Struthio camelus: one gene and its partner. The protein of the gene in region 2 interacts with the protein of the main gene of each other region in a pairwise test. Links are inferred from orthologs where the notes say so. Each region holds a gene or a part of one and is shown on either strand. Other genes may lie near its edges.

Region 1 (6,934 bases), on a different chromosome or scaffold from region 2:
GAGGACGTGCTGCGGCACCGCTCGGGCCCCGAGGGGGGGCTCGGGGCTCTCTGGCTTGCGCTCCTCGCCCCATGTGGTGCCAATAGCTCTTGCAAAAAGGCAGCACTCAGGGATTTGTCTGGTCCCTCCTTGGAGTAACTGCTGAACTGGAGGTACTACCCTGAGCGCGTGATCCCAGCTGAGCCTGGGTCCATCGTGTCGCTAAAGGGCTTTTTTTAATCTCTAATATGAGTGTGCAGCAAGGCCTGGGAGGAAGCTGCAGCTGCAAACATCTTGGTTCCTCTGCGTGCATTTGAAACGGGCTGTGCAGTTTCCCACTGTGCCAACCTACCGCTGATCAATGCGAGCGATCGGCTGTTCCCTCGCTAACGTCTTCCCGCAGGACCCGGCGTGGCGAGGGGCTGCCGCAGGCGCGGAGCAAACCCTGGCGCAGCCTGGGCTGAGGGGAGGCGGTGGCAGCGGCATCCTGGCCGGGCGCTGCCTCCCCCCTGCTCGTGCCGTTCCCCGGGAGGAGTTTGCCTGCCCCGGGGCCGAGCTGTGCGGGGAGCTCAGCCGCCCCTCGTTTCCCGGCGGTGCCCCTCCAGGCTGCCTCCCCGCTGCCACCGGTGCCTCCCTCTCCCTCGTGGCAGCCCGAGCCCGGGACCCCTCGCCCTGCGTTGCATGTGGAAAACAGTTTTTCTCCTCTTGCAGCAGCTTTTTACCTGTTGGCATACTGTTTTTGTCTCCCCTCTCCCCAGCCACTAGGAAACACCACCGTGTCCAGCCGGGAGCTCGCCTGTGACACCCCCCCAGGACTAGCGTCCGTGTCCGTCCGTGCATCCCTCCGTCCACACGCTCGCACTGCCGCCTGCTGGAACGAGGCCCGTGCCAGGGCGGACGCACGGGGCTGCCGGGGCGGACAGGCCGGCCGCGGGGACCCTGCCACGGGCGAGCAGTGTGGCTGGAGGAGCCCACGGAGGGGGTTCTCCTAGCGCCCCTCGGCGGGGGAAAGCAGCAGGGTAGGTTCAACCCTTATCAGACACTAGAGAATCCCCCACCAGGGAAGTCGCAGTGTTCCCAGGGCCTCTCCCTGCCGTGCCAGCTCCCGCCCGGAGCTGCCGGGGAGCCGCGGCGCTCCTTTGGAGGACGCTCTGGCAGCTGCTCGGTCTCATCCGGCCCCATCCTGGCTTCTAGCGCGTTGCAGTGCCCAGGGCATCGCCCCATCCTGCCCCTGCCCGTGCCAGGGTCGTCTCGCTCAGGGTGAGGAGGAAATGCTGCCGGTGCCCAAATCCTCAGATGGCCTTAAAGAAAGTCCAACTCTTTCCAGAACTACTACAGCAGGGATTCCTGTAATTGCCCTCCTATTTTTCTAGCTTTTTCAAGCTCTAGTGCATGACCACAAGGGCTAGCAGTCTATTTTCACTTTTTAATAGAAGTAGATTCCCATGTAATCAAATCACTTTCAGAGCAAGGGTGTAAAATATCAGTTAATGCAAAATGTATAATAAAATAAGGAAAATCACAATTTATTCAAATGAAACTATTTTGCTTGTCAAAGAAGGGAATTCTCTCCAGTTTCTTCCTCCTTCGGTAACCTGCTGACCAAAAGCAAACAGCAGCAGCTGGAAGGAAGGTCAGACAAATAGCAGCCTTTGAAAACCGACCCCGAAGATGCTCCGTCCCTGCTGGGTGCCGCTCTGCTGACGGGAACGCAGCGATGCCACGGAGCAGCGCAGGCCGCGCTGCTTTCCGCACAGACCCGCTTGGCGGTTTTGTGAGCTCAGCCCAGGAGAGGGCAGGGTTGTGGCTCCGTGCTTGTCCCGGGTGTAGATGTTCCTGCTAAAATACGAGCAGAGAAGAACAAATTTAACACGGAGACTTTAGTGGAGAATCCAGATCATGGATGATTTTGAGAAATTTGTGTGCCTGCCTGTAGCTATCTAAACCTTGTTTAAAAAGTGCCAGACAGCAAACACAAAATAAGGACAGCTGTCAAAAAAAGCTTTCTAAAGCATGTAGTACAAATGCACTAGCCGGAGCGGGATACTGCATCCAGCAATGACAGAGAAAGTAAAAAAACAGAGGAACTGTGGAATCTATTGCCTCAAGAAGGCTTGGATTACATCTTAGGAAAAATCAGCCTAAAGATAGACAGGGTTCAGCACTGATGTAAGATATGCGGGGAGGGTGGGAAGATTTCTAAAAGTTAGATAAACATCTGCCAGAAACGATGTACATCTGAGCCTGTCTCAGAGGACTTCAGTTGTACTCTTTAGCTCCGTGTTTCTGCGCCTGGTTGTGCTAGTGGAGGAGTCTGTGCCTCTGCGCTGGTCTGTCCCATCCATTTAGCAGATAAGCTGTCAGTTGGGGATTATCTAGCGCAGCGTACGGTACGCCTCCCAGAGCCCGGGGGCCCACGGCGGGGTGAGCTCTAGGCGCTCCTGGTGAGACACAGTAAATAGTAAGGCGAATAAGTATTTTTAAGGTGCGAAAATGGTGAAAGGGACAGGATGGTATATGAGGGAGCATCTGGCATGAAAAATACAAACGATTTCTGTAAGTTTCCCAGTAAATGCATCTTCCATAACCTGATCCTGCTGCAGGAACATCCCTTGCTGCTCCGGTCCTCAAGAGTCAAGCCAGATGATTCTTAAAACAGGAGATATCCATGGCTAACCTGTGTTTTAAGAAGCAGCACAAGGGACTCAAAATACGATATTCTTTCTCCCTGTTGCACAAACAACAGGACACATAGCTAAAGGACACTGCGGTGTTTGTAAAGATGGGCAGTAAAGATTGCCTGCAGGTTTTAGGATCAGCAGGAGCGTGAACTCTGCTGACCTTGTTTCAGACTTGATTTAAACCCTTCCAGCCCGGAGCTGGCTTCCCCTTGGAGGCCGCTGGAGCTACCCCTGCGCACAGCAGCCTCTGAGGGACCGCAGATAAAAGGCAGCGTTCTATTTCATTTGCCATCCGTTAGTTATTATCCTGGAGCATGGAAATACACGTGTTGGGACAAAACATCCTAATCAAAATACGCAAGCGTTCTGGATTGTAGCAGTCCGGTCAGGAGCCTTCAGCAGAGGGATGGACAAGGCAGTGAAGTGTGGACGAACGGAGGGAGAAAGGGGACCGAGGTGGCAGAAACGGTGGACAGGCCAGCAGTTATCCCGGAGGAGGGAAAGGGGTATCCCCGCTGCCAGAGAGCTGCTGCGGCTGAATTCCCTGCACAGGCCGAACGCGCGTCGGATTTAGCACGAAACGTTCGGGCCAGCGGGTGGAAAAGGCTCCCAGGAAAGACGCGGCTGGGCAGGAGAGTTTGTGCTGCGCTTAAAAGAGGGCAGCGCCACGTCGCCAAGGGCTCCCGGGGGGCGCGGGGAAGGAGCTCTCCCCCCTTCCACCCTCGACCCGGCTCCTCGCAGCCAGGCCCGGGCCGGGGCCGGGGGCGGCGCGGTGCGGGGAGCCCCCGGGCTGGGCTGGCACCACAGGGCAGAGGCGGCGGAGGGCCCGGGAAGCGCAGCAGGAGCCGCCCGAGGCTCCGCGGAGGCGGCCCGGGAGCCCCGCGGCGCCGCCGGGCCCGGCCGCGCTGCCCGCGCCCCGTCGCCATGGCACCGCTTCCCCTGCGCCCTTTGCCCTTTGCCCTCCGTCCCCTCCCGCGTCTGACGGACAGACCCTTCGGCCTATCACAGCGCCCCGCCACCCGCCGGAGTAGGTAGGCGGGCTGGAAACGCCACGGGCCAACCGGAAACGAAAACCGCGAGGCCGGCCCCGCCCCCCTCCCCGCGGCGCCGCCGCAGCCAACCAGCGGGCGAGCGTGGGGGGGCGGGGCCGGCGGTGGGGCCAATGGGGGGGCACGTCGCTCGCCGGGGAGGCGCGAGGCCCCGGAGGGAGGGGGGAGGGCAGCGGCGGGAGCGCGCCGGGGGCCGGGGCCGGGGCGGGGGCGGGAGGTAAACAAAATGGCGGCGGCGTGCGCGCTACGGCGGCGGCGGCGGTGGTAACGGGGGGTGGCGGCAGCGGGAGTGCGGGCGCGGGCCCCGGGGCAGGGCCGCGGTGGCAGAGCAGCGGGCAGCGGCCGGCGGGGCCCCCCTGAGGCGCGGGGGGGGGGGGGGAGCGCGGCGCCGCCGCCGCCGAGGCCCGGCTGCGGGGAGGGGGGACGCGGCCGCCAGCCCTTCCCCCCCCCCCCGCCTCCCTTCCCCAGAGGCGGCAGCGGGGCGCGCAGTCGAGCAGCTGAACCTGCCTCCGGGGCTCACCCCCGGCCCTCAGGGGACGGGCCCTTGCCGAGAGGGCCCCCCCCCGCAGGCGCCCTGCTGTGGTGGGGGGGGGCTTGGCTGCGGCCTGCCAGGAGCCAAAGGTCATTCCCCCCCCCCCCCGGGGTCCCCTCTCTGCCTTCCGACCTGCCTGTGGTGGCTTGGTTGCACTGTGAGTGGTTTATCCCCTTCCCCCACTTTCTGAAGGGGTGGGTACAATATTGCTCATTTTCCTCTCTTTCCCCCCCCCCCCCCCCGACTGACACCTGTGGAAGGGGCTTGCAGAGGGGGAGAAAAGCCCAGGCAAGGTTAGCATCTCCTCATTGACCTTCCTTTGTTGGACAGGGAATGGGGTGTTTTGGGTACTGGACAGAGAGAATTACTTCTTCCTGGTTGTTCCTGTTTTAAGGTGGGTCAGTAAAGCTCTAGTAGGTTTTGCATTGTCTGACACCAGCTGACACCTGGACCAGTGGTGGAGACACATCATGTGTCAGGCGGAATCCGAGTGGTTGAAGGATGCCCCTGGGAGATCTTGATAGGCACCGAAGGCCTCAAACTTTTGTAGGCGTGAAAAGTGAAGAAATTAGAATTGATTCTGAAAACTCCTTCAAAGAAACTTGGTTCCAGCTTCCAAACGGCTGAAAAAAAAATCTTCTATACTTGTACCTGGAAGGTGAGGGCAGCAGGGCAGAAACGCTTCCCCTGCGATTCACAGTTTGGAGTTGGTGGCTATGATCTGCTAGTAATGGAAAGTCATGAAAGAGACTTGGCTGTTGTCTGTTTTTATGTGGTGACCTAAAGTCCCAGAGGATGACCTAGCACTTAAAAATCAAACTGGGCCAAGTTAAAGGCCAAGCTGACTTGAAGGAACCCTAGTGGTGGGACCAGGTCAGAAGTAAAGCAAATCCCAAACTGAGTGTATCTGGTCAAGGATATATTCTTTTTAAGAGACATTGTGTTACTGGAGCCAGGCCTGGATCTTTTAGCATCCAACTGAGCTGGAAGCAGCTCATAGTAATTTTTTGTTTTGTTTTTTTATTCATGTTTGTACAATCTTCTGGATATTTTTTTTCAAGAAGGAGTAAAAGGGAGTGTTGGAAACTAACAAACAGGATTAAAACCCTGAGCGCTTAAGGAAAACAGGTTAAGGAACTTAATCCAGGATGGATATGCAGGAGCCACAGCAGTTGGGTATGTTTGCAGAGAGTGAGCTGATGTCTGTGGGGATGGACACTTTTATCCATCGCATCGACTCCACGGAGGTCATCTACCAGCCACGGCGGAAAAGGGCCAAGCTCATTGGCAAATACCTAATGGGAGACTTACTTGGAGAAGGGTCTTATGGCAAAGTCAAGGAGATGTTGGACTCTGAAACCCTCTGTAGGAGAGCTGTCAAAATACTGAAGAAGAAGAAGCTACGCAGAATTCCCAATGGGGAGGCAAATGTGAAAAAGTGAGTAAATATTTCCAGTAGCTGGGAATCCAGGGAGTTAAATTTTATCGTTACTTTCCAACTGATGTTCTCTATCATTTAAAATAATGACAGCTTTGTGTTCTGGAAGTGCTTTCTAAACCATATGTACTCAGGAATCTCTTTACCGTTGAAACACAGCCAACTGTAAGGTGAAGGGTGCTTCTAAATGCTGCCCAACAGTGAGAGGAAGCTTATTCTCAAGGGCATGGGAAGCGCATCTGTCCCCTTGAACAGAAGAGTATATAACACATGCCCTTTCTTAGTTTCATTACAAAGTAAGAGAGAATCTCTGTTTCTAAAATTTCATGTCAAAGATGCATTGAAAACTGGTGTTTGTAGTGAACTCAACTAAGAAAGATGAGGGATGGTATAGCTGAGAGTGCAGAAATACACTTTGTATTGTTGCTCTCTCTTATTGTGTATCCATATAAGTGTGTGTGTGGTTCTTAAGCTCTTTAGGGTGGTAATTATTGCTACCACCCATGAAATAAGTGCCTGGAATGCATGATCCAGTGTATTATGCACCCAATGGGCATAGGAAGTCTTGGGTTTTATTCTTGGTTTCACTTCTAATTAATGAGTTTGGGAAGTAATTCAAGGCTCTTTTCAGTTGATTTCTCCAGCTGTAAAATGGGGACAAGGGTTGTCAAGCTCTTCTTTTCAGTGACTCAAGATTTGTGCTTGGAAGGTATTTCAAGTGCCAGTTACATACTGATTAGTCAGTGCACAAGTAACTAATTAAAATATACTGCGGGGAGAAGCCTGGTGTTATGCCTCATTTGTAAGAGTTGTTATTATCTGAAACTTTCCCTTTTCTTGGTGTTGTGCCCTACATGTGAGGACCTAACAGCCAGCTGTGTTTTCCACAGCAAGCTGTTTGTTACAGCCCAGCAAGATAGAGTTGTTTATCTGGTGTGAAGGGGAGCCTTCTGCAGCCAAAACAAATTATTTGTGACAGTTTATCTTATAGTGGGAGGGAAAACTTATGAGATGTTTAGAAGACTCTTGTATTACGTCTTTCGCTGTGGTGTGCTGAGTGTAGAGCCCTGACCTAGTAGAGTCTTGTTTCTGTTTCTCAGTTTGGTTTGAGTTTCCGAGCTCAGCTGCAAGATATTTCACATCCTGTACTGGGACTTCTGTCAGCTAGCTGTTTAAGTTTCCCTTTTAACCTTCAGTGGACACGCTTAGCTACAGAATAGCAACAAGTCTTTCATGCAGGGGCCTCGCTTTCTCT
Region 2 (7,751 bases):
ATGTAAAATATATTCAGCAGCTACAAGCTAAAGATGAAACTTACGGCAAACAAAGCAGTTTGAAAGAAACGACTAGAGGCTGAGAAATGCTTTCTGATCCTGCATTCCAAATTACCACATAGCAGACCTCAAAAGAAGACTTTTCAGTTCCAATTTGATCAAAAACCAATGAAGTGTTCCTCATGTCATGGTACCAGGCAAAGGACAAACCAAAGATAGCACACACAACAACTTTTCCGCCTAGGAAAGGATGAATGGTAATGACAAGCAAATAGAAAATGAAATCTCCGTGGTAGCAATAACTCTATTCTGGCCATAACTATGTCCCCGAAACACAAGAGAGGGTCTAACATACTCTTAGGAAAGAGTTATATAGCTTACTGCAGTCGCTGCAGCTGTTTTGAGAATGAAGAAGTTTGCTTACGAACCAGGATACAATCATGCTGTAGTACCATGCCACACAGCAACACCTAGAGTATACCAGTCCCGAGTCTGTCAAAAATAGCTTGTCCTTCATGATCTCAAAGAAGAAAGGAAGTTGGTAACAGTTGGTAACAGCACTGTTCCTCTAGAATTAGTGTTGCCCTGGATACCAGGCTAGACAACAAGATACAAGCTTGACCCTACCCTTCCAGTTCTTCAAGGGTTGCAATCATAATCCTTGATCATGGAGCTGGAAATCACAGTAAGCAATCTTCTTCCAGCACACAGACCTTTGACTTCAGAACATTATCTGGCACTGTTTTTTTATTTATTTTTAGTGACAGTTATTTCATTTTTTTGATTTGGCATGAAACATTCATTTCTAGAAGTAATAAAATGATTAGTCTAACTTACAGGAATAGCACTTGCTCTTGTTACTAATGTTAAAATTCTTTAACTTCTTGCTAAATGATAAAATTTCCCCCTTGCTATGCTTACAGTTCCTGGGCAGATTAGAGACATAAGTTCCAGCGTCAATTTTCAGAATGTCTTTAGCTAGCACAGGTTTGTTATCTGTCTGCAAAGTGTCCGTAAGATTATCACTTATTACAAATTTCCAAACTTGAACTTATTTAAATGTATTTTAAGTGAGTGTCATATGTGGAAAGTGTTTTGTATAAGCATTAGGTCAAGAATTTACTTATGACAAAAATACTTGTTTCAATTTTAAGCACTACTTTTTGGTTTGGAAATTCCTTTACGCAGCTTCATATTGAAATACTTAAAAGAATTTTAAAGCATTTCTTTCTGATTGAACACAGGAAAGTCTTAATGATAGTACCAAAAATAGTACTTGTGGGGGATGAGACAGTTTTTAAGACTATTTTCTGTCATAAAGAGATAGCCTATTCCCTCAATCTATTGCCTCACAATCTAGAGTTGCTAGTTACCTCTCCAAGCATTACAGTGCTATTTTAATGACAAAACAAGGAAGCCATTTTTTTTTTAAAGTGAACTTTTAAAAAAAATACTGTAATAGAAAAAGTGTTGGCATCAATTGTTTATCTTATGGAACAGCACTGTTACATCTGATAAAGAGGAAGGTTTTTGTTTTTGTTTTTAAATAGGTAATATGGAACTCCTGAATTTAGCTGTTACTGAATATTTTCTCCTTCTGCTTGTGGAAAATAGTTATGTTATGATTTACAATGCCACACTAAGTTTTGATTTTACAGTTGCTTTAAAAAAAAAAAAAAGCTCTTTTATGTTATTGAACTTAATGCAGTAGAAACTAATCTTTGATACATAGGGTTGAGTTGATTTGCAAACAGTCCACCTCTGCACACAAAGTGTTAATGCAAGTCCTGTCAAATGCACCAACATATCAAGGAGCATCAGATCATTCAAAGCATTTGATTTCTTGTCCAGGCTCTGCCCCCAGCTTGCTATGCCACCTTGGGCAAGTCACTTAAAACCAAGTTTTCAGTGTCGGTGCCTGTGCACCTAAACGTGCTTCTATAAACTCAAATGTAGTATGTCTATAACCACGGTCATCACCAAGTATATTTCAAGTCAGATGCTCCATTCAAGACAACAAGTGCTGGAAACACTAAACTTAAAACTCGTCATTTTTGTAGGAAGAAGTACAGAAATAAAGCTCCCGAGGTACAATCTGCTGCAAGTACACACAACCTTTTGGAAAAGGCAGGCGACGCTCAAAGTACAAGTGCTATTCCGGGGGGCAGGTGGGGTTTACCTGGCTCAGAGTCTCCACTTTCTGTGCCGAGGTTTGCTCGCTGTCCCTGAGCTGCTGCCTGACCTGGCCGAGCTGCTCCAGGAGACTTTCCACCAGGGAGCGGGCGGGCTCGGCCCCGGCCCCGGCCCCGGCCCCGGCCGGCTCGCCCGCGGCGGGCGGCTGCCGGGCCAGGCTGCTCCTCAGCTCCCGGATCGTCGCCTCCTTGACGGCGAGCTGCAGCTGAAGGTGCTTCAGTTGCTGAGCCGACTCGTGGTACAGGGTGCAGAGAGCGTTGTACCGAGGCACTTTACTCTTCAGGCTCTTGTTTTCCCGGTGCAGCTTTTCCAGCGTTTCCTCCACCTGTTTGAACCGGGCCACCAAGGGGTCTGTACTGCTACCCTCGCTTACCGAGCACATGGCCGAGGACGGCGAGCCTCGATCACTCTGCTGCCCCTTCTCTCTCTTCTCCGGGGCGAACAATAATCCAGCCAGGTGCATATAAAGCCAAAGACGAGCCAGGCAGGGCCGCGGCTACTGCCGCTGTTCCTTCGCTCTTCCGCCTGCCGGGCCGCTGATGGCCGCTCTCCTTTAAGGCCTCGCAGGACCCGCCTGCTGCGCTCCCCTAGCACCGCCGCTTTTTCTACCGCGCAGGCCGAGCGGAGCCCCGCCTCCGCCGACGGGGGGGAACCCCGCCGCAGCGCAGCGCAGAGCTTTCCCGGGGCGAGGAGCCAGCGCGGACAGCGGGCTGGCCGGGGATCCCCGGGCAGGGGCAGCGCGGCGGCGGCCAGCTAAAACCTGGCGGCCAGCGGCGGGGAGCCCGGCTCCAGTGAGGGGCCGTTGGGGGAGAGCGACCGTCGGGGACCGCTGAGGGGGCTGACGGCGGAGGGAGGAGGTGGACGAGGGAGGCCGTTGGGCGGGGGGTGTGGGGGGGGAGGGAAGGCTGAAGTGAACAAGGGACCGTTGGGCGGGGGGGGGGGGGGAGGCGCGAGGTGAACGAGGGACCGTTAGGAGGTGAGTGGGGGGGGGCGGAAGGAGATGCGGGGCGATCGAGGCTCCTTTGAGGGGGCTCCAAGCCGGGGCTCGCCCAGCCTTGCGAAAGCCCCGCGGCGCGGTGTCCCAACGGGAGCCGCTCCGGGAATTTCCTGGCGCCGGGAGGGGACTTCCCGCCGCGACCCCTTGCCCCCACCGGCTGGCGCCGCTCCGCCCGGCGGAGCCGCCCCGGAGGCGGGCCAGGGAGGCGCATGCGCCGTGGGAAGGGGGGGTTAGCTTCCCTCCCCCACCCCACCCCGCTCCCGGCCGTTTAACGGTCTCCCCCGCCTCCCCGCTGTGGAGGCGGCGGGCCGCCCGGCCGGTAGGGCTCCTCGTTACTTGGCCGTGACGCCGCTGCCGTACGGGCCGCAGGGAAGGCGGGAGCCGCCGGCCCGGTAGCCGCAGCCATGTGCGGGGCCGCCACGGCAGCTGGGGGCGGTGGGCTTGGGGTCCTACCCCCTTAACAGTTCTGGAAACCGGCTTCGGGAGCAGTGGCCACCTCGGAGACTCAGCGAGGGGGGACATGTGGGCGCACTCGCTTTTCAGTGTAGGCATCTCGGTGTTGAAACCGTGGCCGAGGCTTGTCTGTCTTGAGCCAGGCATGGGAGCAGGGTCTCCCCTATGGCCTGGCAGGGGCAAAAGGATGCTTTGAGGCCAGTGCAAGCAGTGAAGAAATGTCTGGAAATCTTTGATAAAAGTCTGGTGGGTCAGCATCAATAACAGTAGGAAAGCTTTGGACCCAGGCATCTAGAGGAAAATGTGTTAAAATAGTGCTGCAGCCTTTGAGGAGAAGCTCACTCCAGTGAGGAAAGACTCTGGAGAGAGTGGATCATCTTCCAGTCATCACAAATTCGTTTGGTCAGCTTGTGTCTATACCTGTTCATCACACGTTGTATGTGTTCATGAGAAGAAGATAGAGCGCTGTTGATGTAAGTGAAACTAGCTGCCTCACACTGAGCCAGCACCTATTAGCCACCCCTGTGGTGGATATCTTTTCTATTAGCTGTATAGCAGTAGAACCAAAGATACAGTTACTCAGCTTATTTGGTACGGTAGTTCTCATTCAAGCAGGGGGATAAGCTGAACTAATATGAAGTAGTTTGGATTGGTTTAATTGTACCCATGTTATTATCATGTACTGGTAGAACACCAAGGGAGGAAAAAAGTCATAAAACCCTGGTTAAAAGGGTAAGAAAATAAAGCTCTGATTATTGTTTGTAATAATATTTATAATGACGTAGTCACACAGAGCTCTACATGTGAACACAGTCTTGTTGTACTGACTTCTGTACAATCATGGAAGAAGGTCCTGGACCAAAAAGCATACCTGTCTAATTATAGAGCAAGTGAAAATGGTTGGTTACCAGTGGTAGAGGAGATAAAAAGGGTAGACTCTGATCAGTATGACAGAGAGCGGCCTCCCTGTGCTAGCATCTTAACGACTTACAGCTGTCATAATAAAAGCCACAACAATGAGGAATGTTTGAGAACATAAATTAATCAAAAAGTTATGACTGTAGAAGAGTCTGTATGGCAAAGACATGACACTGGCTCAATCCTGCTAGTGATGGGTCAGAATCCTGGTGATAATTGTGAGATGAAAGTGCAAGGTGTGACATGTTGGCCTTTCATGAAAGGATAACAGGTGCAAAGTGAAACAAAAGAGGTTCCAGTTGCATATAAGGAAACCTTTCCCCATTAAGGACAGTCAAGCATTGGAACTGCTTGCCCACAGAGGTTGTGCCATCTCCATGCTTGGAGATTTTCAAGTCCTAACTGTGTAAAGCCCTGAGCAACCTGATCTGATAGCTGACCTTGCTTTGAGGATGAGTTTGGACCAGAGACCTGCTGAATTCCCTTCCAACTTGAATTATCCTGTGGTCCTGTGATTGAATTCAGCAGTAGCAGAAAGGTAGAAAGTCATCATTTTGCTACCGCGGTACTGCTGGAAAAGGTCTTGGCGTTCCCCAAAAGATCATACATTCAAAATGCTCCATTAGTGTAAATATTCATAAAAACAAAGCTGAATTTTATGGGTAGAAGAGCTTGTGTGACAGGAAAGGATAAAACAGTTGCCCAAGATAATGGTTTACAGTGTGTTTGTTACTTCATCTCGTAAATAATCTAAATACACCGTGACTAAGGACACGGGAAAATCATATGATCAAAAGTTGAGGAAATTACAATTTTTGACTGTCTACATGTAGAACAAAGTTAGTTCCTACAACCTTGAGGCATCATTTTTACTAGGAAAAAAAGAAAGGATAATTCCTACTTTAAAATACTAGCATTTTATAGTTTTCATATACATTAGTGGGAAAAGTGAAAAAATAAATAGGCTTCATTTTATATTTTCAGTATTTTCAGTACTGTTATGCTACAGTTAGAGCTTGGTGAAAAATGTACAGCAAAGTCACTTTTGCTGACTGTCAACAAATTTTTTTAGAAATATATGATAAAGCACTGGCTGGGGAGAAGTTTATCTGGCTTCAAATAGCAATGGCTGGGAAGCTCAGAGATTCCAAGGATCTACAGATGGGATGGCCGTATCCTGCTTACTATTCTTTGACCAGATATCAGAGCATTTAGTTAGCTATCAAACAGAATAATTTATAATACAGTGTGTTTGTAATTATTAAAATCAAACATTGCATCTAATTACTGAAAACTTGACATTAATAGTGCTTTGGATAAGCAAGCACTTGCCCAAGGAAAATACCACTGACTTAAGGGAAATTTGAGCTGCGTAAGTCCTGAGTAAGAAATTGATCCCGCGTGTTCTTGGGAATGCCCTTAGATGACGGTTTCCTTTTGTCAGTTCTGAAATGTGGAGGAATTCTTGGGAATTCAGCAGCTAGACGCTAGCGCCAAAGAATGAGTCAGATCTTAAGACGTGTTTCTTACTGTACCTGGCTTTTCCTGGATTGCCTTCAGTGTGGTTTTTTTATCAGATTCTCCGGTAAAGTAGATGGTCTACCAAGTTGCATGTTTGTACTTTTTCAGTTTTAGGCAATGAAATTATTGGATATTAAGCACAGTAATTCTGCTTGGCAAAGAACTGCATGAACAACAAGTATGCTCTGCACTACTTCATATAATGAAAATCCTTTATTTTCCAAACCTTACCAGCCTCAACTTAAAATCTAAAGTGAAGTTCACTTTGACTCTATCTCATAGTAGGGTGTAACACAATGATGGAGCCACGCAAGTAAAATCTAAGCTCAAATTAGATTTGCTGAAGAAATCAGCCTTTTCAGAAATGTAGGAATGTTGCTATTTTGTTAAAAAAAAATCTGGCAAGTTGCTCTAAGTAATTCTTCACATATCACCAACCACTATTATGATGCATGAGAAGTGTTACACAGTGTATAAGAAACAAAAGTGGTTAAATACTAGCTAGAAACGGAAAGGATACTAAGCTGATCTTAGGACTAGGAAAAAGGAAAAGTAAACAATATAGCTAGAGTGAATTAAGCGTGCATTAATTTTTTTTTATAAATTTGTGTTAAAATGAGTTATTTGTAGTTTAAGGTTTATTAAAAAGATATGATGAACTGATTTCAGTTTCATATAGGTGAAAATTAAGAATAATTCCATTGACTGTAGTAGTTATGTCTCTGTAATTTTAGTGCAAATGACACAAGAGTGAGTCTCTGTATTTAAAAGTATAGTTCTGCTTGAAAAAGTCTGTAAAACAGATTTTGGGGTTCTGTCATTCTGCAGATAATGTAGTATGCTTGATTTGTGAGAAACTGTATTTTTTTTGAGCTGTGAACTCCAGAAATTATTCAGGCAACCAAGCTGCATCTGTTCCCATCTCTTCCTCTAGTCACCATTTATAATGGTCCTGGAGACTAAATTGTGACCTAATGATACTGTTCCATTGCCTTGAGCTGATTTATCAAAGTGTAACTAATTATAGATTAGTAAGTGATTCTCTTGTTGCTCTCTGGTAAAAAATCAACAGCAGCGCACACTTCCTTAACTTTTGACTCTGTAGTGTTAACAGGAATAAAAATCACTAACAGTTTTTTTTTCCTCTCACTGAGATCAGTTGATGTATCTTAGAATACCCACAGCTACAAAAGGTGTCCAACTTAGAGCTCTTCATAAGTCTCAGAGTCTAATTTGGATGCTGACCGAATAGTTTATGCTTCTATGACTCATAGTTTAAGTGATGTCGTGTTTGCAGCGGTCATGTTTGCAGTTCTTAAATGGGGAAGGGTAAACTTCCTTAACATATAGTATTAAATTGGATGTTCTGATAATTTCTTAAATGGGGAAGGGTAAACTTCCTTAACATATAGTATTAAATTGGATGTTCTGATAATTTAATGCACTACATTTTGTACAGTTTGAATGGGAAACTCATACAGAGGTTAGTTTGAGGCCATTCAGGAGTCCTGATATCGGATGAACTCATTGTTATGACATTTGTACGTAGCCATGTCCCTGCGCTGAAGTTATGGCTTGGATCGCAACATTCCTGTTTCAGTCTTGTTTTCAGTTTATATACTTGGTGATTAAGCCCTATTTACTGAATGACTCAAAAATGTAAACATAA

What was found.
Region 1: the proteins of TNIP2 (region 2) and STK11 interact in binary tests that used the Homo sapiens proteins (3 or more experiments, as listed by UniProt). The link is inferred for Struthio camelus from reciprocal best matches to the Homo sapiens genes TNIP2 and STK11.

What each region holds. Positions count from the first base shown.
Region 1 is NC_090967.1:7,175,381-7,182,314, reverse strand, and holds the start of STK11 (serine/threonine-protein kinase STK11), read left to right. Parts: upstream 1-3,915; 5' UTR 3,916-3,973; intron 3,974-4,635; exon of another isoform or gene 4,636-4,680; 5' UTR 4,681-5,389; coding exon 5,390-5,679; intron 5,680-6,934. UniProt on the Homo sapiens protein: Tumor suppressor serine/threonine-protein kinase that controls the activity of AMP-activated protein kinase (AMPK) family members, thereby playing a role in various processes such as cell metabolism, cell polarity, apoptosis and DNA damage response.
Region 2 is NC_090945.1:77,064,593-77,072,343, reverse strand, and holds the start of TNIP2 (TNFAIP3-interacting protein 2), read right to left. Parts: upstream 3,010-7,751; 5' UTR 2,657-3,009; coding exon 2,180-2,656; intron 1-2,179. UniProt on the Homo sapiens protein: Inhibits NF-kappa-B activation by blocking the interaction of RIPK1 with its downstream effector NEMO/IKBKG.